Linked DNA regions of Callithrix jacchus. The protein of the gene in region 5 purifies or fractionates together with the protein of the main gene of each other region. This does not show direct contact. Links are inferred from orthologs where the notes say so. Each region holds a gene or a part of one and is shown on either strand. Other genes may lie near its edges.

Region 1 (3,500 bases), on a different chromosome or scaffold from region 5:
CACAGGGGACAGGCAGCAGCACCCTCAGCAGCAGCCCCACTCTGCAACCCCTGAGGGCCTTCCAGGCCCCCCCGCAGCACCTCTGGGCAGTGATCCCAGCACAGAGCCTCGGAGTCAAGTCTTCTCACCCCCTACGCTGCTGGGGTGATCCTGGGACCTCCTCAGTAAACCGGGTGACTGCCCTCTGTGCAGTGACCTCAAGGCTTGACTGAGACATGTGTGTGAAGCACTCGGCACCCAACAGGTAGCCAAAACCCCCCAGCGCCTATGGGTCCACCCTGCAGGGACCCTCACCTCAGCTCATCCTCGGAGAGCTCAGACTTTGCTCCAAAGCGCCCCTCTCCCCTGCCTGACCCTCTTCCCTAGTTCACCCATCCCCCTGCTGCTCACCGACCCCAGCTCAGGCCCCCCCTCTTTACCCAGCCCTGACGGGTCTTACCCTGCTGCCTCTGACAGCCTTGGCATACACATGTCCCTGGAAGGAGCGCTGGGAAATGCATGCCTGCTCCCACTCCACTGGTGGACCCCAGTCAGCAGCATTGCCAGCCCCTCTTTGGCTCAAAAGGCTCCCAACCTATTGTCTCTCGGTTCCTGTGATTCCCTGCTCTTGGCTCCAGCCCCATTCTGCTCCCACTGCCCCAGAGCTTCCTGCTCCAATGCCTGACAAGAGCCATAGTCAGCTGACCCCTGAGGGACTGGCCCTCACATGAGGTACCTACTCAGTGCTCTGCCTACATCACCGTGCTGACTGGTGACAGGGAGGGACTGCCACCTTGATTTTACAAATGAGGACATCAGGCTGGGTGCAGTGGCTCATGCCTATAATGTCAGCACTTTGGGAGGCCGAGGCTGGTGGATCACGAGGTCAAGAGATCGAGACCATCCTGGTCAACAAGGTGAAACCCCGTCTCTACTAAAAATATAAAAATTAGCTGGGCATGGTGGTGCGCACCTGTAGTCCCAGCTACTCGGGAGGCTGAGGTAGGAGAATTGCTTGAACCCAGGAGACGGAGGTTGTAGTGAGCCGAGATGGTGCCATTGCACTCCAGTCTGGGTAACAACAGTGAAACTCCGTCTCAAAAAAAAAAAAAAAAAAAAATGAGGACCTCCATCCTTAGTAGGGGCAAAGCCACACAGCCAGAGGGGAAACTTTGAGCGCAAGTCTGGCTGACTCTAGGGTTGGTGTGCTTGCGGGAAGGAATCGCCCCCTCCACTCACTCGGATGGCAATTGTGTGCAGGGACATGCATGTCTGTCACAAATACTATGTTTTCTTTTCCTTTTTTTTTTTTTTTTTTGAGATGGAGTCTCCCTCTTGTTGCCCAGGCTGGAGTGCAGTGGCGCCATCTCAGCTCACTGCAACCTCTGCCTCCTGCCTGCCTCAGCCTCCCAAGTACCTGGGATTACAGGCGCCTGCCACGCCTGGCTAATTTTTGTAATTTTGGTAGAGACAGGGTTTCACTATCTTGGCCAGGCTGATCTTGAACTCCTGCCTCAGCCAGGCTGACCTTGTGGTCCACCCGCCTCAGCCTCCCTAAGTGCTGGGAATACTGGCATGAGCCACCACCCCTGGACTGTTTTCTTTCTTTCTTTTTGAGATAGTGTTTCACTCTGCTGCCTAGACTAGAGTGCAGTGCTGTGATCTCAGCTCACTGCAACCTCCACTTTCCAGGTTCAAGTGATTCTCCTGCCTCAGCCTCCTCAGTAGCTGTAATTACAGGTGCCCACCACCATGCCCAGCAAATTTTTGCATTTTTAGTAGAGACGGGGTTTCACCATGTTGGCCAGGCTGGTCTTGAACTGCTGACCTCAAGTGATCCGCCCCCGCTCGGCCTCCCAAAGTGCTGGGATTATAGGCGTGCACCACCACACCTGGCCACACATGGCACATTTTCTGCCTGTGCGTGTGTCAATGTATGCCCCCGAGTGTCAGGAGTCCCCGGCCTGAACCCAGAGCCCCACGCGCCGGTGTGCACCTTCTCAAAGTGGCCGCTGCGGATGTAGTAGTCGGCGAGTGAACACCAGAGTTTGCCCAGTTGGTCAGTGAAGCGGGTGAGGCCCCCACGGATGATGGCGTCCACGTTGAGGGACTGGACCTTGTCCGGGTTCTGGGAGATGAGGTCGCACAGCTCGTGCCACAGCTGCAGGGCATGGGGTGGAAGGAGTCTCGAGCTCAGTCACAGAGCAGGCAGCCCTCCCACCCAGCTCCCGGTTCCCGGGAGGCCCACCTGGTAGTTGGACTTGCCGGCCTTGGACACGAAACGCTCGTCGTTCACCACTGTGGCCAGGCGCTGTGCAGCTTCATCCAGCCGGTCACTTGACTTGAGGTACTCGATGTACTCCTCTGCGCTCTCAGGACTCAGCTGGGGACCGACCCACCTCTCTGGCAGTCAGTGAGGTGGCAGGGCCACACCCACATCCCAAAATTCAGTGGCTCTGGGGCGCCCCCCACCCATTTACCACTGTCTTGGACAAAAGCAAGCCCTGTCAAACCAGCCTCAGCCCCACTGGTCCAGCCCTGGTTCCTACTGGTCTAGCATCAGCCCCATTGGGTTAGGCGCTTAACCCCCTATGGGTCCAGCCTGACTAGACCATCTTTGGACTTTCTGGGTTAGCTTTGACCCACAAGAACACAGCCTTGACTACAGTGGTCTAGCCTCAGTCCCAATGGTCCAGTCCTGGTCCTTTTGGGTTCGACTTTACCTTCCACCCATAATGGGTCCAGCCTTGGCTCCAATGGTCGAGCCTCAGTCCTGACTGGCCTAGCCTTGGCCCCTTTGGGTTAGCCTTGATCCCATGGGTCCAGCCTTGACTACTACTACTACTAAGAGACCTTAGGAAACAGGAATTGCCCAGGTGCAAGTCTCAGTTTAAGAGAATACGTGGGGCTGATTACTTGCAGCAAAGAGAGGCGACCCATGGAAGACACCACATTGGCTCTCAAAGCTTTTTCAAAGCACATGAGGCCTAAAGTAAGTGGGAGAGGTCCCATCAAGGCTTGGAGAGGGAGTGAAAGTGTTGGGAGGTCCTCATTCTTGGGTAGATGAGTGGGAAGGACACGGGCAGCCTATCCAGGCCCAAATCAGGGCATGGCATCTATGGCCAGGTGGAGACAGCACTGTTCTGTGATGATAGCTTCTCCTGGAAAAGCTGAGCCCAGCACCAGTGTAGTCAAGCCCAGGTGTCCAGCCTGGGCCCCATCGGTCTAGCCTCAATCCTGACTGTTCCAGCTTAGACTCCAAGTGTCACAGAACAGATACTGTAAGTTTGAACAAACCATGCCACACTCTCCACCCTGCCTGCTGTACATCCCCACAGTTCTCTCCACCTACTATTCTTGGCCCTCATGGCTGTGGTTTTATTCTGGTTCATGCCATCAGCTCATATGCATCTGTCTTCCTAGTGAGACTAAAAGGTACGTGCAGACAGGAAGTGTCGTAGTCACATGGTCCTCAGCACCCATCTCTATGCCTAATGCGAAACTGGTATAAGCAAACTGTT
Region 2 (3,500 bases), on a different chromosome or scaffold from region 5:
TATTTTATTTTTTTGAGATGGAGTTTTGCTCTTGTTGCCCAGGCTGGAGTGCAATGGTGCGATCTCAGCTCACTGCAACCTCTGCCTCCTGGGTTCAAGAGATTCTCCAGCCTCAACCTCCTGAGTAGCTGGGATTACAGACATGCGCCACCATGCCCAGCTAATTTTGTATTTTTAGTAGAGACAGTATTTCACCATGTTGGCCAGTCTAGTCTCGAATTCCCAACCTCAGGCGATCTGCCTGCCTCAGCTTCCCAAAGTGCTGGGATTACAGGCATGAGCCACTGCGCCCAGCCTTGTCCAGAGTCCTGATTGCAGCTCTGTCACATGGTAATTGAGCTTTTAGAGTCCAGAGTAAAAATGCCAGAGCTCAAACCCCAAGCTTGTCACCTCCTAGCTATGTGACCCTGGCCATGTTAACTTCTCTGAGCCTGAGTTTTCTCTTCTATAAAGTGAACATAACAATAGTGACTACGTTATAAGCTACTGGAGATTAAATGAGAAGATGCTGCATATATAATTTCTTAGTGACATTAGGTATACTGACTTATATCACATCAAAGTGTCTCTCAATGCCTATTTAAATGCTATTCCAATTTAAGGTACTTTATAATCTGAAGAACCAAAGTTTTAGGGTCAAATGTGGTTTAAATCTCAGCATAGCTATTTACTAGCTGACAGACCTAGAGTATGTGATTTCATCTTTCTGAGCCTGTTTCTGCTTCTGAAAGATGGGGAAAAAAAACATTTACCTATGGCTTCTTGTGAGGACTAAATTAGGTAAAATGAGGCAACTGTTAAAGGCTTGCTTCTTCTTAGGGCCTTATTAGGCAACCGAAAATGGAAATGTACTTAGAAGCAGCAAGCACGACTGGGCCTTGTCACACAGCAGGCAATTGCCTAACGGTACTTAGCAACCACGTGTTTCCCTTCCCTTTGGAAACACGCAGTCTGTGTTGCACTTAAAGAAATAACTGAACAGAAATCAGGATTTTACATCAAACTGGGATTCATAATGTTTGCTCAGAGGCCCCATGGAGAAGCGATGTCCTTGTAGACAGTGAGTGGACACAGTGCTTCCAAGGGTAAGATGCCTTCCTTCCCTGGGCGCAGGACCCCAGCCCCACCCTGCCCAGGTACCTTGGTGTACTGCTCCACTAGCTTCGTGAAGTAGTTGAAGAGGCTGTGCTGTGGGCGGAGAAAGTCAAACTGGTAGTTGCGCTGCTCTTTCTGCATCAGCTGGGTCAGAAACTGGCGCCCGTTCCTAGCCACAAACTGAGCTGTCAGCTTCACCACATCCAGGTCGAAGGCTGAGATGGAGGGGGGATCAGCAATGAACTCAAACTCAGGAGGAGGCTCTTTGGGCACGATGGTCTCTTGGATTACCTGGGCTTGGACCTAAGATGCAAAGGGAGTATGAGGTGAGAGGCACAGAGGTGGACAGGCTCTAGAGGAGGGGAGGAGGCATGGGCACCCACCCCTCAGCAGGACGGCTATGAACCTCTAGACTTCTGTTGATTATGTATGCACCACTTGCACTTGGTGTGAGAGAATTCTAAATCAGTGCTCTAAGAGCACTGAGTTGCCAGTCAACTATGGCCTCAACTCCATGAATGGCTCCAGTGAGAACCATGCCCCTCTGTATCTCTGCTGCACCTCCCTTGAAATAGAGAGGTAAAACTGGATGACAGAAGATCCAACAAAAATATGGCTTATTAAATCCCATCCAAGGCTGGGCACGGTGGCTCATGCCTATAATCCTAGTACTTTGGGAGGCCGAGGCGAGCAAATCACTTGAGGTCAGGAGTTCGAGACCAGCCTGGCCAACAAAGTGAAACCCCGTCTCTACTAAATATACAAAAATTAGCTGGGTGTGGTAGCAGGCACCTATAATCCCTGCTACTCAGGAGGCTGAGGCAGTTGAATTGCTTGAACCTGGAGGAGGAGGTTGCAGTGAGCCAAGATCATGCCATTGCACTCCAGCCTGGGGTACAAAAGCAAGACTTTGTCTCAAAAAAAAAAACCCATCCAAGAGGGATAGAAGTGCAGTAAGGCCTGTATGTGTGCAGAGAACCCCACTGTACAAAATGTTTCCATGACCTCCGCATGAAGCATGATACAGAACAGGTACTGTGAATCCTCTTTATGGATGAGGAAACCGAGGTAGCCTGAGGCCCTAGGAGTAGTATATTGCAATGCAAGGTCTTAGAACCTGACTTCAGCCTCTTTATCCCACTGCAAAAGGAGGGGCTGTCTTTTCCACCACGGTTCAGGAGTGCAGAAAAGCGAAGGGAACAGCCCAGGTCTGGACAGGAGGAACAACACGCCAGCCTCTCTCTTCATTCATAACCCTAACAGTCCCTAGTGCTGGGCCTCAGCACAGGGAGGGTGGTATTAGGGGAGGGCAGATGGAGGGGTCCTGGGAAGAAGACAGAAGGGAAGGGATCACACAGGCCACATTGCCCTTCAGCACAACCAAGTAGGAAGTCCTTCACACATCATGGCACTGCCCTCACACCCTGAGCAAGGCCTGGAACAAATCCCACTTCCCCCGACTCTCAGATTCCTTTTACAGCCTCTGTGAAGAGTCAGTGAGACAAGACTCCTGAAGTAAAGCGCAGAGCTTGACAAGCAGTGCTCGGGCCACACCAACTATCATCAGTACTTTGCGGTCTGGGCCTCAGCCTGCCTCTGTGAGATGGGGATGATGACCTCACTTCTCTCCCTGGGTGGTTGTGAGGTTTGGATAGCAGAGTTAATTGTGTACCCCCTCCCTATCCCTGCTTCTCTCTCGGCCCTGCGTAAGTGAGGCGGGGTGGGGCTGGGCTCCAAACCTTCTGGGGCAGCTGCTGCTGGGTGGCCTGCTGCTGCTGCTGCATAACTTTTGGGATGGCAGCTGACGGCTCCTGAGCCTTGCCCTCCTTGAACTCGCTGACCTTGTGGCGGTAGTAGGCATGGTAAGGGTCATTGGGGTTCAGAAAGTTGAACTTGGGGTTGTTGATCTCGTTCTGTCGGATCCTAGCTTCAAATTCAGGACCGTTTCTGGAGGGAGGAAAAACAGGAAGATTTAACACCACACCCCTTGTGCCTGCTGAGATCCAGAACACTGCCCATTTGAACACTCTTCTTGCCACCACCCACTGCTCAAACCAGCCCAGCCCTCAGCAGAGCAGACATCCTCCTCCAGCCTCCTGGCATTGACAATCAGTGCCATCTGTCTCATTCAGCCTCAATTAGGCCATTTCTACCACAGGGTCTTCCTGAACTCAGTCATTCCTTAGCTCTTCTTCCAGTTCTGCCATTTCCAAAACCATTTAGGCTATTGCTCATTCCTTTTAATAAAGTTTATTTACTTAGAAAAATCTATTTAAAATGGAGGGTACATATTACCACTTAAATTTTTTTAAAAATCAGTATGCCTTTATCCACAAAAGGTAGTCAAAAGTGAATACAATGCAAATAAAGTAATATTGTCAAAGTTTAGCTCGAAGTTTGCTGAG
Region 3 (3,965 bases), on a different chromosome or scaffold from region 5:
CTCCGCCTCCAGGGTTCAAGTGACTCTCCTGCCTCACCCTCCCAAGTAGCTGGGAGTAGCTGGGACTACAGGCGCCCGCCACCACAGCTGGCTAATGCTTGCATTATTAGAGCGATGGGGTTTCGTGAAGTTGGCCAGCCTGGTCTTGAACTCCGAAGTCAGGTGATCCACCCACCTCAGCCTCCTAAAGTGCTGGGGTTACAGGCGTGAGCCACTGTGCCCAGCCTACGAATACAGATTTTCAATCTAGATTTTTATACCCCACCAAATTCCTAACTATGAGGGTAAATAAACTCATTTTCAGACAATCAAGGGCCACCCCCCCCACCAACAAAACAATCATCTATTTCTTCAAAAGCCACCAGAAGTTCTGCTCTGACTCATGGAGAGGACAGGGTGGCCACGCTGGAAACAGAGGCAGGCCCCGGGCAGCAAGGACCGGAAGCTCTGGGGCAACAGCCCCACGTCCAGGGCAGAGCAGAACCAGTCCCACCTGGAGGAGGGGACACGTGAGTCTTGGAGGGAAGTGGTGAGGAGAGACGGATTTATTTAAACCTGTGTGAAATACAACTGATAGGTGTGTGAGATGCTGGAGCTCTGTGAGGAGCTAAACAAACAGGCAGAAGAAAACCAGGCTACGGGGGGAGGCGGGGGCAGGAGAAGCGCCTGAACCCGGGAGGCAGGGGCTGCACAGAGCCGAGATGGCGCCACTGCACTCCAGCCTGGCAACGGAGCAAGACTGTCTCCAAAAAAAAAGCAAAGCAGGCTAATGGTAAAAAGCAACTTGCTCAGCTTTAGGGGAAGAAAGAGTGCAAAACAAAAGCCCAGCTGAACATGTTACTTCTCTCAGCAACCAACAACGTTTTCCATCTTATTTAGAAAACGTAGCCAAGGACCTACTCCCGCTCAGGACAGACGCCCATCCAGGAGGTGGAAGGTGAAGGTGCAGGGGGTGGATGGGAGGGAGGTAGTGTCAACCACCCTGACGTGAAATCAGCAGATCAGTCCAGGAAGACCAGGGCACAGCCTGACCAACATGGCAAAACCCCACCTCTAAAAAAAAAATACAAAAGTTAGCCGAGCCCGGCGTGGTGGCTCACGCCTGTAATCTCAGCACTTTAGGAGGCCGAGGCAGCCGGATTACCTGAGGTCAGGAGCACCACACCAGCCTGGGCAACAACACAAAACCCCGTCTCTACAAAATATACAAAAACTAGGCGGGCATGGTGGTGAGTGTCTGTAGTCCCAGCTACTCAGGAGGCTGAGGCAGGAGCATGGCCTGAGGCTTCAGTGAGCTGTGACTGCACCACTGCACTCCAGCCTGGGTGACAGAGCAAGACCCTGTCTCAAAAAAGACCAGGGAAACCCACTTAAGAATTGAGGAAGGCCAGGGGCGGTGGCTCACACCTATAATCCCAGCACTCCGGGAGACCAAGGCAGGTGGATCACGAGGTCAAGAGATCGAGACCATCCCGGTCAACATGGTGAAACCCCGTCTCTACTAAAAATACAAAAATTAGCTGGGCACGGTGGCGCGTGCCTGTAATCCCAGCTACTCGGGAGGCTGAGGCAGGAGAATTGCCTGAACCCAGGAGGCGGAGGTTGCAGTGAGGCAAGATCGCGCCATTGCACTCCAGCCTGGGTAACAAGAGCGAAACTCCGTCCCCCCCCAAAAAAAAGGAACTGGGGAAAGTCCTGGGGCCTGGGACTGGAACACTGAGCGGATGGGAGTTTTTGGTGGCAACTCCATTCTCTCCTTAAACCTAGCAAACAACCTATTTTCCAGAGCTCCCGTGGCTGTTTGGTGCTGCCCAAGGACACACAGGAGTAACGGTCGCAGGCATCCAGCTGCCTGGGGTGACCTGCAAAATGGGGCCAGCTAAGGTTTTCCGTTCGCCTTGGGCCTGGTGAAGCTGTCACTCCCGTTTTAAAGGAACGGAAGCTGAGAGGAGTTACATCACAGAGCCCCAGTCAACTAACAGGTATAGGTTAGGATGCAGGAGCGCTCTGGGCTACAACAAAGCGGACCCAGACCGTTTCGGCCGCGATCCTGATCCGACCCCTGAGTCTCGGTTGTCTATTTCTTATCTTACGAACCAGGATCTTGCTCTGTTGCCCAGGCTGGAGTGCAGTGGCGCAAGCACAGCTCACTGCAGCCTCGAGCTCCTGGGCTCAAGCGATCTTCCCGCTTCAGCCTCCAGAGTGGCTGGGACTACAGGCGCCCGCCGCCACGCCCGGCTAATTTTTTAAACAATATTTGCAGGGATGGGGGTCTCGCTATGTTGCCCAGGCTGAAGTGCAGTGGTGAGATCATGGCTCACTGCAGTCTCGACATCCTGGGCTCAAGCGATCCTCTCGAGTGGCTGGGACTACAAGCGCCACCACCACTCCTGGCTAGTTTTTAAAAATTTTTTTGTAGAAATGAGGTCTCCATGTTGTACAGGCTGGTCTCGAACTCCTGGCCTCCACCGATCCTCCGGCCGAGGCCTCCCTGAGCGCTGGGATTAGAGGCGTGAGGTCCGGAGTACGGACCCCCCAACAGGTGTTTGGAAATAAGAGTTTCGAGCCAGCCCGCCCAGCGCGGGGCCTCTAGATGCACGAGGCCGGACGCTCAAGGGAGGAGGAAGGGACGCGACCCCGCTGCCCGCCCCTCAGCCCGCGGCCCGTAGCAAGCGCTTCTCTCCCACGTCCGCTCCCCTCCAGGGAACCCCCAGTCCCCGTCGACCGACGCCCTCACCAGAGCCCAAGGCCGCGCTATCGCCACCTTGATCCGCCACCGCCACGATTTCGTTCGGCGCACGCGCGTCGCGGGCAAAAGAAAGCACTTCCGGGGCAGATGGGGCGGGAACTCCCGTGTGCGCATGCCCGGCCCGCCCCGCGGCGCGCGTCGGGAGGTTCGGAGGCGCGAGGGAAAGGGCTGGAGGTGGCGGGTCTGAAAGTGCGGCCTGGAAAACAAAGCGCGCGTGCGCACAACGCTTTCAACGACCCCTGGGTCCGCTGCGGCCGCGCGGGGCCGACTTTCGCGAGAGGGCGGCTGATACTCGGGAGATGTTATCGCTCCCTCCGCCTGCGCCTGGCCGTTCTAAGAAGGGGCGCCAGCCCTCGCGGGGCTGTTTTGATTTTGTTCCACCTTGGTCCGGTGTATTTCAGTTAACTTAGTAACGACGGTCCGTCTCCCCAGCCAACCCTTGCACGCCCCCCCCCCCGGGACGCCAGCGCCACCCTGCGGGGGTGGGTGGCATGGCCGGCCCAAGGCGCGCAGGCGCACTAGCCCCAGCGGTGCTTCCGTGTGTGCGCCCTGGGACCTTTTTGGCGCCGGCCCCGGCGCGAGCGGGGACGGCGGCCGGGAAGGCGTGGCACGGGTTCCCGTTCCCCGCGGAACAATGCGGTACAACGAGAAGGAGCTGCAGGCGCTGTCCCGGCAGCCGGCCGAGATGGCGGCCGAGCTGGGCATGAGGGGCCCCAAGAAGGGCAGCGGTGAGCGGGACCCGGGAGACCGGGACAGTGCTAGGGACTGGAGGCGGGGACCGAGGTCCGGGCCTGGGCGGGAGACCGGGTCCGGGGTTCGGGTGAGGGCGCTGGGGGTGGAGGGTGGGGATCCGGGCGGGGACCGCCTGCGCCCCTGAGCGTGCGCTGTGCTCGCAGTGCTGAAGCGGCGGCTGGTGAAGCTCGTGGTGAATTTCCTCTTCTACTTCCGGACAGACGAGGCCGAGGTAGGGGCGCCCCGGGCGCGCGGGTGGGTGCCAGGCTGCGCCCCGGGGAGGCTGGGCGCTCACCGCCGCGTCCCGGCGCCCGTGTCTCCTGCAGCCCGTCGGAGCCCTGCTGCTGGAGCGCTGCAGAGTCACCCGGGAGGAGCCCGGCACCTTCTCCATCAGTGAGTGCGGCTGGGGAGGCCAGGGGCGCCTCCAGCAGCCCGGGGCACCCGCGGCGCCGCACTGTCCCCTCCCCAGGCGCCCAAGGCCTCC
Region 4 (4,006 bases), on a different chromosome or scaffold from region 5:
AAGTTCATACAGCCAATCACCTGGGTGGTGCTAGCACACAGTCTGGCTTCAGAGTCCATGCCCTTGGCCCCTGTGCCATACTGCCTTTTGTAAGTGTAACTTTTATTTTTCTCTCCAAGCTTTTGCTTATGTTGTTTCTCCTTCTGGAACGTCTTTCGTTCTCCTGCTCTTCTATCTGAATACTGCCCATCTGTCAAAGTTCCTCTTGCTTACACATCCTGTTCGTCCCGCCCTTTTGTCTGGATACCTTTTAGTCCACACCACATGTCCTTTGCATGATTTCTGAGAGTATATTATCTTACAGATATCTGCAAAGAATCATACACTATCTGAGCTGGAAGAGAAATAGCAAATATAAAATAAATTTATAGGAGGCCATTGGTTTGGACTGAGATCTTGCACTAGGCCCAACATACCAAGCCAATAAGAGTTAGTCCTGCTGAAGTTCCATGCTAATGAGCTGAAACGGGGATCTTTATGATCTTCTGAGTAGGAGAGAGAAATTGAGGGAAAGAGGGAAAAAGGTGTGGGAGAGAGAGAAAATAGCCAAATTCCGAAACAGGCTAGTTTTAGATGGCATGATAAGGAAGTTCCCTCCACTTTAACCTTTACAGGAAAAGTAATTTTGACATGACCAAACGACCAATCTGCTTTTTTTGTCTCTGGTTCTGTTTTCCTCAGTCCTTTTCGGTCTATAAATACAAGCTTGCCTGTTCAGCTCATTGGACTAATCATTATATTTTATAGTGAGGAGCGCCGCCCAGTTCTACAGAATTGCACCTGTAATCCCAGCTACTCTGGAGGCTGAGCAGAAGGATCACTTGAACCCAGGAGTTCCAGGATGTAGTACGCTGTGATTGCACCTGTGAATAGCCACTGCGTTCCAGCCTGGGCAACATTGCCAGTCTCTTTAAAAAAAAAAATTAAACTAAACTTTAAATTTGTTGTGATTTTGTCTTTTGACAAAGATGAAAGGGCAGGGAAGTCAATGTGAATTGCCCCAAATCACACTTGTCAAAACAAGTGCTGTCCAACTGATTTGGTTTTAAATTCTCACTGCATCATGGGAAATGTAGTTTCGAGTCTCCTCTCTCCCGACGTCCCCGCCACTCTGCCGGCGCTTTACGGAACGAGCCGAGTCAATCCGGAAATAACCGAGTGTTCGCGGCTGGCCTTTTCCTGCCCGGCTGCATTCTGGGAAAGGGCAATTTCCGTTAGGTGCTGAAGGCTGTGGCGCGCGGCTGTTCCCATTCCCACGTGAAGCGCTACGCTAGCATCGCTCTGCGAGCGGCTCCCAGCTTGCCGCCGAGCAGTCCCGGCAGAAGCGGGGGACCGGAAGTGGCTCGCGGAGGCTCAGAAACTAGTGCCGGAGGCTCAGAAACTAGTCCCGGAGTCCGGCGTGTGGCGTCTCGGAGCGCGGCGAAGGCGCCATGTCCCTGATCTGCTCCAGTGAGTGTTTACTGCGACCGAGCGCGGGTCGCAGGAGGCCGGAGAGCGGCGCGGGACCGTGTGCGGGCCGCTGCGGCGCTCGGGCCGGGGTGGAGGCGGTTATGGGGCGCCCGGGAGGCATAGTGGAGGCCTGTCAACCTCGCAGCCCTCCCCTCGGAGCGGGATGCGTTTGCGCAGTGCTCCGCAGTTTACATAGTGCCTGAGGTTTATTGCCGCAGGCATTACTGAGGCCAATCGCCTTGTTCTACAGAGTGGAAACAGCCTGGACAGAGAGAACTGGTGCAGGGGAAACAGCCTTGATGTAGGAGTTTGGAAACTCCAGGGTCCGCCTCCCGTTGGCTTTGTGAATTGGCTTAAGGCTCTGGGCCCTGGTTTCCCCATCTGCAAAATTGAGGAGCATTGCACTGGTTGTTTTGCGAGGTCTCGCTCGGATGGTCGGAGCTTTTGCAATTTGCAAAGGTCACATGATGAGTTAGAGGCAGAGGCAAGGCTGGCAGCCAGGTTTCTGGCTCTCGGCCTTACACTGTATGACTGATAAAAACAGTCGCACATTTATAAAGCCCTTATTGGTTTACAACGCGCTTCCAAGTCTATGATCTCATTTTATCCTCACAAGAATTCCCTAAAGGAGAAATAAAGATCCTGGTTTTGCAGATGAGGATGCAAGGCTCAGGAAGAGCCGGGGCTTATCTAAGGATGCGTAGTCAGTCAGTGTCAGAGCTGGGTGACGTAGTTAGCTGACATGGAGCTTGGACCCTGAATCCATGCCTTTTCCATACCTTCCACTGCCTTTCCCTTTGATATTTTATCATGACGTTCAGACGTTTCCCTTTAACTTTTCGTTGTTTCATCAGATTACTCGTTTCCCTTCCCTTTTGCTATTCATTTCCTTCTCTTCTCAGAACCTGTACATTGATCCAAAGAGGGGGAAGAAGGAAGGGAAATGATGGAAAAGGATCCCTCACAGTGAAGAAATTACAGCTCGCAAAGTACTTTCACATTCATTGTTTCCTTCCAATCTTGGAGAAGCTTTCTTTTACGTTCCCCAGGACCGTCCTTCCTGGCATGGTTCACTCATTTGTTAGATGTTTACCGAGTGCCCATAGGGCATCTGCATTATATTGGAAGGGAGAGACCAGCTGTAATCCTTATCCTCAAGGGGTGCACAGACTACGCTGGCAAGCGTGTAAATGATACCTCTCTTGCGGGTTGTTGTGAGGACGAATTCCTGTACGGTATGCTTAGAATTGTGCTTGGCAGTGTAATGTGCCATGTAAATATTTTTATTCTAGTGATTGCCACTTTGCTCCTTGGAATATTCCAGGTGATAAATGTCTGTCTGTATGCTCATCAGTTGACTAGTAGCTGGCAGACCCTCAGTAGCTTCAGGATGAGGACTAGTCACCAAGAAAGACCAAGGAGGTATTAGAAGGTTGGGATTTTCAGTCCTACCCCTCACTTAACCTGGGTAAGGAGAGGAGCTGGAGGTTAAGTTGGTCAGCAGTGACCAATGATTTAATGAATCATGCCTTTGTAATGAAGCTTTCATGAAAATCCAAAAGGACAGGATTCAAAGAGCTTCTGTATAGCAGAACATATGGAGGTCCCTGTAGGGTGGGGCGCCCAGGGAGGGCGTTGGAAGCTCTGTACCCTTCTCCCATACCTCCTCCTATGCACCTCTTCGTCCGTATCCTTTGTAATATCCTTTATAATAAACTGGTAAATGGAAGTGTTTTCCACAATGCCATGAGTCACTGTTGCAAATTAATTGAACCCAAAAAGGGGGTCATGGGACCCTGATTTACTGCCGGTTGATCAGACGAACAGGTCAAACAACATGGGAATCACAGTTGGCGTCTGAAGGGGCAGGGGAGTCTCGTGGGACTAAGTCCTCAACCCGTGTGATCTGACGCTGTCTCCAGGTACCTGGTGTCAGAATTGAATTGGAGGACACCCAGACGGTCACATCCGAGGTCACAGAAATATTTTGTTTTGTGACAGAATAGGAGAGACTGAGTTTGTTATTCCTATGTTCTCAGACTTCATAATTTCTTTGATAATCCCTCTGGAGCTATAGACTAAGATGGATGGCAGGCATTAGAATAGCTTCATGTGTATCTCCAGGTCATGGAGTAAACTGTATTCATAGATCATTGTTCAAAAATGAGAGGGGCGGGGATATTGAGTGCTGTTCTCTAGGTGCTTGGCACATAGTAGTTGTTAATGATTATTTGTTGACTGATTGTCAGGAGACTAATGGAGAAGCTAGTTCCATAGCTGGAAAGCATTCTGGGGCCAGTACAGAACTGGCTTAGGGTCAGATGTCTTGCTTCCTGCTAGTTGATTGTGAGGATGCTTAGTCTTGTTGGGCGTAACAGCAAGATTGCCTTCACTCCAAGCTCACTGCCGGCCTTTTCTCTACAGTCTCTAATGAAGTGCCGGAGCACCCATGTGTGTCCCCTGTCTCTAATCATGTTTATGAGCGGCGGCTCATTGAGAAGTACATTGCAGAGAATGGCACTGACCCCATCAACAACCAGCCTCTCTCCGAGGAGCA
Region 5 (4,040 bases):
TATAATACCAATACAGCCATTAAATACTGTATGATCACAATAAGTTCTGCCAGGAGGGGCATAAATAACCCATTTTATTTTTCTATTTTTAAAATTCACATGTAAGTCCTGACATTTCTGATAATACCATACTCACCTTGATTGGCAGGGTACTGTTTATGACCATATGAATCTGTTGCATTCTGAGGACCCTTCTCTTTAAGGTTTTCTTTTGAAGTAGGCATATGCAACACAGGACCATACTCATTACGAAGCTTGATTGCCATTTTTCGTTTGTGACTATTTAGAAATTATAAACATAAGAACATATCCGTAAATACTTTAAAACAAATACTTGGATAGCTTAAGTTTGCCAAATCATGTAGAAAAAGTTTCTAGTAAGATTTTAAGTCATATTTAAAAGATTAAAAAATTTCCAAGTTCATTTTCCCACCATTATCTGTTTTCTTTTGCTCACATTCCACCACACAGCATTCATTAAACCTAATATTTTAGTTCGTTACCAAATAAATACAAAACCTTTTATGATAAATTATCAAGGGTCTGATTGAAAGATATATAGAAACTAACATATCCTTTAAGAAACCTCAAAATCAATATACTTTCCTTCAATATATAAATATAGTAAGAACTTTATAGCAGCCTTTCTATGTTTCTAAACAGGTTAGTCAAAACTAATCAAAATCCTTAACTGGTTCAGTATTTTAGAAAGAAAGGCACTTATATTACTTTTTAAAATTGTCTACTTTATAAATTAAATATAAATGCTTGTTTGAGGAATTCAGTAGATTTTAAAAGGGTAAAGAACAAAGAAGGAACACTGCACATAATGCAATCCCAGACTAGAGCTGGATATGTAGAACCAAAAATGTGCCACCATTCAAAAATCTTTATCATACTAACGAGAAAAGATAGGAGTAGAGGTACTGGCCAGGTACAATTTCAGCTCAGCAAGGCTCTGAGAGCAGCAGGAAGCTGAAAGCACATACAAAGTGATTTATTATAAAATAAAACACCTAAAAGGGGCTCGCTTAATTACTGGGCATTTATAAAATGCAATTAATTAATGGAACTTTTACTGTAAAAGGCAAAAAAAAAAGTTAAATCAGCTTAAATTATGCCAAAATACCACTCATTATTGAATAATTAGGCCATGAGTATTACTAACTTATCTTTAAAGGTCTCCCTCTCCCTGTTCTCTTTGCCCAATATTAAAATGTTAAATATTTCAGCAACTGGAAAAAAAAAAAAAACAAAAACAAAATCTATACCTACCTCTCTTCATCTAAAGGCACAGGTTTTCCATTATCAGCTACAAACATGTCATGGGTCCTCTTCAACGACCTGAACACAAGTGTGTGTACAGAATGTTTCTGTACCTCCTAAAAAGAAAGAATGCAATTACACACCTACCTATAAATTAAACAAATCATAACATAACGTCAGATTGGTTATACACTTTACATGTTTAAAAATGTAAAAAGCTTTATACACTCATCATAGCTACTAGTTGCAAGCTACAGGAGTCAAGTTCAGAAAAGAGGAAGCTCCTCTTTGGCTAGAAACTCAGGTATAGCAACTGAGTGATGCCTGAGTTTAGTCATTTATTTAACAAATATTTATTGAGCTCTGGCAGGTGTTGTGCTAGAATCTCACAACAAAATGATAAAAAGGTGGTCATGGTCCCTGTGCTCAGGAGGAAACAGTAAAAAGTAAAATAATTCCACATTTTGATAAGTGCTATGAAGGCAACAAGCAAGGTGCTGAGTCAGAGTACGAAGGACTAAGTATAATTGTAAAAGATTTCACTAAGATGATATTTAAGCAGAAAGGGAGTTAGCTTTGCACAAACAGAAGTTAAAACGAACCAGGCTGACAGAAATATTATGTAAAAAGGTGTTCAGTTAACTGAAATAAAACAAGGAGCACAGTACAGCTGTATATGGTGGGTGAGAAGGTGCTTTGTGGTTGCAAGGGTACACAAGGTCCAGATTAGGTAAGGCCTTTTAGACCATTACAACAACCTAATATTTTGTGTTCCAGCAACATAGGGTCAGTAAAGGGTTTTAAGCAAGAAAGGTATGAACAACTTACGTTTTAAACAGAACTTATAGAACAAAATGGAAACAAGGAAACCAGTCCAGGTGAAGGATGCGGTTGGTCTGAATTAAGGTGGACTGCAGTGGTTACAGAGAAGAGTTGATGGAATCAATAAATATATGGGGTAAGATGGACAAGACCAGCTAACAGAGCGGCTGTTCAAGGCAGGGAAAGATGTAAAGAATGGCAAGATTTTCTGGGGGTAGAGATGAAATAAGAGAAGAACCTGAACGCAAGATAAAGAAGGCCGCCAGTCTTTTAGGGCACAGAATCACTGACACTGCCCCGAGGGCGGCGAGTACCAGTGGTCGAACACCAACAGAGGCCCCGCCTCCAAGGACAGTGTCCAGCCCCCAAGAGTCAAACGGGGACTGAACGATTTATCTCAGGCTTCGCGCCCGGATTGAACTTCTGACTCGGGTTCTCATCCGGTTTCTCCCCCTTCCCCGAAAACCTGAAAAAGAGACCACCCGGCCTTGGCCAAATAGCTCCCCTCGTAGCCTCTTTTCTCTCCGGACTCCAAGCACTCTCAATCCCCCACGCCCACTGCCAAAGAAAAACAGTCCAGAGGCAAACGGTTCTTGAGAGCACCAGTGTCACTTTACCTCGACCATGATGCTGCCGTATATCCCACCTCTGGCAGCGACGAAACCCTAATCACTAACGCAGTACCCGCCGCCACAACTGTGCGGCACCTTCCGGAATTGGGCACCCAGGCGGCGGATGTGACGCAACTCTGCGCACGCGCGCTGGTTTCCCCCGGCCATCTGGGATCGGGAGGCGGATCTTCCTCCTCGGGACCGCCTCTAGGGCGGAGTCTCGAAGCTGAGGAGCGGAGACTCCTTGAAGCGCCTGACCGGAGGGTTTCACTCGCACCTCTGAGGAAATCTTACAATTTGTTTTCTTCCTTATCCTCAGCCTTAAATGTTTTGATTGGGGTCCTGGTTGTTCGTGCTGTTTTGCTTGGGGTCCTGATTGTTCGTGCTGTATTACCCGGTAGCTTAATGCTTTTTATTCAGGGAACCTCAGCGTCTGGAGAGCAAACTCCCGTGGGCTCTAAGTCACTTGCACTGCCTTGATCTCTTTGGAGGTCGCCGACGTGGTTTGTCTGCTGGTTCCAGTCCTGGCGAGAAGCACTTGAACACTGTTGTAGGCTTAACGCCTGAAAACAATTTCGCTTAAACAGTCCAGTAAACACTTGTTGAGTGAATGTTGCGGAATAGTTGTTTTAATTTGGAGATTTTTCATATGTAGATATACAAAATAATTTTAACAGTGTAAAACCCCACATTTATTTTCTGCTAATAGGTTGGTTTTTTTTTTTTAGTTTCTCAAAACTGTGTAGCTCTTGGCCATTTCCTAGTTGTCTGCTGATTATTGGGCTTCAACAATGCCAGGATACAGCGTTTCAAAGCTGGTTGAAGAAAGGCACAATTGGAGACTTTAGCCATTTTTATTTTTACATATCCTTGTGCCAAGTATTGATATTTTTGCTTTCTACCCTGGTAAAATCTGCGGTTTGTGGTCAATCCTACCCAATTATTTTTCTATGTAAAATGAAAAATTGATGGACTTGGGCATTTGCAAGCTTAAATAGACAAACACCTTACTGGCCCTGTTTCAGTTTCACTGATCCTGTCCCCAGAGCATACTACATACACTTCGAAAGGAAAAAAAAAAAAAGACCTAGCAAAAGAATAGCAATGTAAATCGATGACCTCACTTGGAAATTTAAAACATTAAGGTCATGGTGGATTTTTGTTTTGTTTTGTTTTGTTTTCGAGATAGAATTTCGCTCTTGTCGCCCAGGCTGGAGTGCAATGGCACGATATTGACTCATTGCAACCTCTGCCTTGCAGGTTCAAGGGATTCTCCTGCCTCAGCCTCCCGAAGAGCTGGGATTCCATCTATGCACCACCACGCCTGGCTAATTTTTGTAT
Region 6 (3,500 bases), on a different chromosome or scaffold from region 5:
TTATCTAAGAACCATTAAACAAACCCGGTTTACGTTAACAAATTTGGAATAAATACCTTCAGCACAATTTTCTTCATTTCCTCATCAGGAGATTGGAATTCTCGAATAAGGATTAACATCACTTCTCTAGTATAGTAGTTGGCATATTCTGCATCCATGAGAGGAATAAGATACCCAATAGCCTTTAAGAAAGCAGCTAAACCCTGTTTTTAAATAAAAAATAAATGTAGTTTAGTAATTTAGATTTATGTCACCTTAATGAAGAGAAATCAAAAAGTAATTGGTGGATTTACCTTTCCTCTGTGTTGGCGGATACCCTTCCATAAAGGCTTTAAGACAGAATCAAAAGATTCGATACCATAAGGAGTTGCTGCTTCAGCCAAGGCAGCAATGGCCAAAGCACTGATGGTCCGAACCTTCTGCTGCTCATCCACAAGACCTACAAAACCAAACACAGGTTTTAACTATGCACCAACATTACCTAAGTTATACAATATCATCCAGATTCTTGCACTATATCAACTATTTAGCTAAACTGCAGAATGTGCTCACATTAGACAAAATTAGGTAAAAGCAAATATGAACCACAGCCTGTTAGCAGATAACATCACAAACCCATAAAATATATAGTTTGTACAGTTACGCCCTTCCATTTATCTCCCCAAATCAGTAGCCCAAATTTTAGGACAGCTGTCCTATTAAATGTAGACAGGCTTTTGTGTGTACCTCTAGTCCCAGCTACTCAGGAGGCTGAGGCAGGAGGATCACTTGAGCCCAGAAGTTTGAGTCCAGTCTGGGCAACATAGTAAAGACCTTACCTCTTAAAGAGAAAAAAAAGACAAAGTTACATTGCAACTTACCATGTTCAATGATTTCAACTAAACTTCTAAGATGCGGCAAGATGGCACAGCCCATAAGAATAGCTATCTGTTGTACAATCTTAATACCAGTGTGTCTTGCTTGCCAGGACTTCTTGCTTTTGCACACAGCTTTTAAGAAGGGCAATAAAGAAGGAATGCCCAGGGCAGAGGCCACAACAGCAAAAGCTCGAGCTGTTGTGTTACGGACATACTCATCCATGTTATCTATATCAGGTCTCATGGTAGAGATCATAGTAGCCAGACCAGCAGCCTAAAAAGTAAAGAAAAAAGGAACAGTCATCAGTTGCCAATATTAATGTTCAACCATTTCCTTCCATAATCAAATAATTCCACAAACAGATAAAAATTTTCTTCTCTAGAAATTTAATGTAAATACCTTTGCCAAATTAGAAATGATCTCTCGGCCTTCCACTCTAGCATAGTAATCTTCATCAATCAATAGCGGTTCAATGACCACGAGGATCTGAAAAAGAAAAAAAAAAGAGAAGAAGCTACACTTTGACATCAATTACTGATGTTTTTAAAAAAATAACTTATGGCCAGGTGCGGTGGCTAACACCTGTAATCCCACCACTTTGAGTGGGTGGATCGCCTGAGGTCAGGAGTTCAAGATCAGCCTGGCCAACATGGTGAAACCCCACCTCTACTAAAAATAAAAAAATTATCCAGGCATGGTGGCAGGCGCTTGTAATCCCAGCTACTTGGGAGGGAGAATCGCTTGAACCTGGGAGGTGGAGGTTGCAGTGAACCAAGATTGCGCCACTGCACTCTAGCCTGGGTGACACAGCAAAACTTCGACTCAAAAAAATAATTTATACACCCTATGAACATACTGTACCATAATTACCATCAGTAAAAACACTGGTTCTTAACACTAAATGGCATAATACAGAATCACATATTCTTATCCTAATCTCAATAAAAGCAAATGAAAAAACAGTATGAACCTCTTATGACAAAGGTAACAAAAACTTACATGTGTACATCTGTATGTACATTTATTCTGTATATAATTGTATTTGTACATGTATGACGTGTAGTTGTGCAAAAAAAAAAAGGTCTAGGAGGATATGTAAATTTAACATTAACTGAAAAAGTTAAAATATTAAAGCATCAGGAACACTATTAAGGAGAACAAACCTTATGCACATATGGACGAACCAAGTCATCAAGTTTGTACAGTATCCTGTCAATAACTTTCACAAGTAAATGACGCTCTTGATCCTCAAGTGTAGGAGACATCAGTAGAGGAAGAATCTGATTAAACAAAGGACCAGCTCCAAATTCACGAGCTTTATCAGTAATCTGACGCAACGCAGCCTGGGAAAAAAAGCAGAATAAAAGGTGTGAATGCTTTATAATCAAGCATTTTGAATGCACAAATTACTCAAAGATTTTCTATAATTTAGTATTTTAGTGTATACTTTTACACACATTTTACATAGACTGCATGAGTTCATTTCCTTCCAAATTACTCCGGAATTTGAACTCCTGTGATAGAAATTTTATGTCAATTCATAAGGGTAATTTAATAGAACAAAAGGACCACAGAGCTATGTACTAAATGCTTTCATTTCCCCTAAAGTATCTTCCATTTCCAAGGCACATATAGTATTAATAATTCCTTATATAATTTTAATTATCTTCAAGCTTTAAGCATATTTTAAGGCCTTGAGGGCAAAAAGAGAGTCTCATTTTTCAGCATCTTTATTAGCACAAAATTCTTTGATTAAAAAAGATAGCTCCAGCAGGGCATAGTGGCTCACGCCTGTAATCTAGCACTTTGGGAGACAGAGGCAGGAGGATCGCTTGAGCCCAGGAGTAAGACCAGCCTGGGCAATAAAGTGAGACCCCATCTCTATTTAAATAATAAAAAACGGCGAAGCACAGTGTCTCACACCTGTAATCCCAGCACTTTGGGAGGCCAAGGCAGGTGAACCACTTGAGGCCAGAAGTTCAAGACCAGCCTGGCTAACATGGTGAAACCCTGTCTCTACTAAAAATACAAAAGTCGGCAGGGCGTTGTGGCGCACACCTGTAGTCCCAGCTACTTGGGATGCTGAGGCAGGAGAACTGCTTGAACCCAAGAGGTGGAGGTTGTAGTGAGCCAAGATTGCACACTACACTCCAGCCTGGGCAACAGAGCAAGACCCTGTCTCAAAAGTACATATATATAATAACAACAAGCAAAAAAGTTAAATCCTTCACACTACATACAGTTCTTTCCCTTACACTATGTCCTTGATAAAGATGAAGCAAGAGTAATTATAAATTCCTAAACATAAAAATATAGCACTACCAAAAGTTAATTTCTTTGCAGGCAAGGCTTCCTAAATAACCTTTACCAATTTGGGCTATTTGGGAGAGTAAGGAAAGGCCATACTCCACAGTGGGCTATACCAATAGCTCACTACTATTTTGTGGACTACATTTCCTGGTGAAAAAATTTAAAAATTAAAAACATTTTTAAAAATATAAACATGGCCAGGTTCAGTGGCTTACACCTGTAATCCCAGCACTTTGGGAGGTAGGCCGAGGCAGGAGGATCACTTGAAACCAGCCTGGGCAATTTGGCAAAACCCTGTCTCTACAAAAACTACAAAAATTTGTTTTTAATTA

The links.
Region 1: the proteins of PLRG1 (region 5) and XAB2 purify together in Homo sapiens (affinity purification with mass spectrometry; 3 studies listed by BioGRID and IntAct, counting the BioPlex papers as one, with this or other methods). This does not show direct contact. The link is inferred for Callithrix jacchus from reciprocal best matches to the Homo sapiens genes PLRG1 and XAB2.
Region 2: the proteins of PLRG1 (region 5) and SF3A1 fractionate together in Homo sapiens (co-fractionation; 3 studies listed by BioGRID and IntAct, with this or other methods). This does not show direct contact. The link is inferred for Callithrix jacchus from reciprocal best matches to the Homo sapiens genes PLRG1 and SF3A1.
Region 3: the proteins of PLRG1 (region 5) and SF3A2 purify together in Homo sapiens (affinity purification with mass spectrometry; 3 studies listed by BioGRID and IntAct, with this or other methods). This does not show direct contact. The link is inferred for Callithrix jacchus from reciprocal best matches to the Homo sapiens genes PLRG1 and SF3A2.
Region 4: the proteins of PLRG1 (region 5) and PRPF19 purify together in Homo sapiens (affinity purification with mass spectrometry; 8 studies listed by BioGRID and IntAct, counting the BioPlex papers as one, with this or other methods). This does not show direct contact. The link is inferred for Callithrix jacchus from reciprocal best matches to the Homo sapiens genes PLRG1 and PRPF19.
Region 6: the proteins of PLRG1 (region 5) and SF3B1 purify together in Homo sapiens (co-immunoprecipitation; 3 studies listed by BioGRID and IntAct, with this or other methods). This does not show direct contact. The link is inferred for Callithrix jacchus from reciprocal best matches to the Homo sapiens genes PLRG1 and SF3B1.

What each region holds. Positions count from the first base shown.
Region 1 is NC_133523.1:7,204,675-7,208,174, forward strand, and holds part of XAB2 (pre-mRNA-splicing factor SYF1), read right to left. Parts: intron 2,363-3,500; coding exon 2,228-2,362; intron 2,141-2,227; coding exon 1,976-2,140; intron 1-1,975. UniProt on the Homo sapiens protein: Involved in pre-mRNA splicing as component of the spliceosome. Involved in transcription-coupled repair (TCR), transcription and pre-mRNA splicing.
Region 2 is NC_133502.1:200,944,707-200,948,206, forward strand, and holds part of SF3A1 (splicing factor 3A subunit 1), read right to left. Parts: intron 3,043-3,500; coding exon 2,835-3,042; intron 1,399-2,834; coding exon 1,141-1,398; intron 1-1,140. UniProt on the Homo sapiens protein: Component of the 17S U2 SnRNP complex of the spliceosome, a large ribonucleoprotein complex that removes introns from transcribed pre-mRNAs.
Region 3 is NC_133523.1:2,116,813-2,120,777, reverse strand, and holds the start of SF3A2 (splicing factor 3A subunit 2), read right to left. Parts: upstream 2,801-3,965; 5' UTR 2,738-2,800; intron 1-2,737. Other genes in the region: PLEKHJ1 (pleckstrin homology domain-containing family J member 1), read left to right, coding at 3,384-3,477, 3,646-3,713, 3,808-3,965. UniProt on the Homo sapiens protein: Component of the 17S U2 SnRNP complex of the spliceosome, a large ribonucleoprotein complex that removes introns from transcribed pre-mRNAs.
Region 4 is NC_133511.1:117,927,757-117,931,762, reverse strand, and holds the start of PRPF19 (pre-mRNA-processing factor 19), read left to right. Parts: upstream 1-1,206; 5' UTR 1,207-1,430; coding exon 1,431-1,449; intron 1,450-2,351; exon of another isoform or gene 2,352-2,438; intron 2,439-3,873; coding exon 3,874-4,006. UniProt on the Homo sapiens protein: Ubiquitin-protein ligase which is a core component of several complexes mainly involved pre-mRNA splicing and DNA repair. Required for pre-mRNA splicing as component of the spliceosome.
Region 5 is NC_133504.1:42,068,296-42,072,335, reverse strand, and holds the start of PLRG1 (pleiotropic regulator 1), read right to left. Parts: upstream 2,801-4,040; 5' UTR 2,715-2,800; coding exon 2,706-2,714; intron 1,383-2,705; coding exon 1,276-1,382; intron 280-1,275; coding exon 137-279; intron 1-136. UniProt on the Homo sapiens protein: Involved in pre-mRNA splicing as component of the spliceosome. Component of the PRP19-CDC5L complex that forms an integral part of the spliceosome and is required for activating pre-mRNA splicing.
Region 6 is NC_133507.1:118,366,983-118,370,482, forward strand, and holds part of SF3B1 (splicing factor 3B subunit 1), read right to left. Parts: intron 3,314-3,500; exon of another isoform or gene 3,177-3,313; intron 2,202-3,176; coding exon 2,022-2,201; intron 1,345-2,021; coding exon 1,258-1,344; intron 1,132-1,257; coding exon 861-1,131; intron 440-860; coding exon 294-439; intron 204-293; coding exon 57-203; intron 1-56. UniProt on the Homo sapiens protein: Component of the 17S U2 SnRNP complex of the spliceosome, a large ribonucleoprotein complex that removes introns from transcribed pre-mRNAs.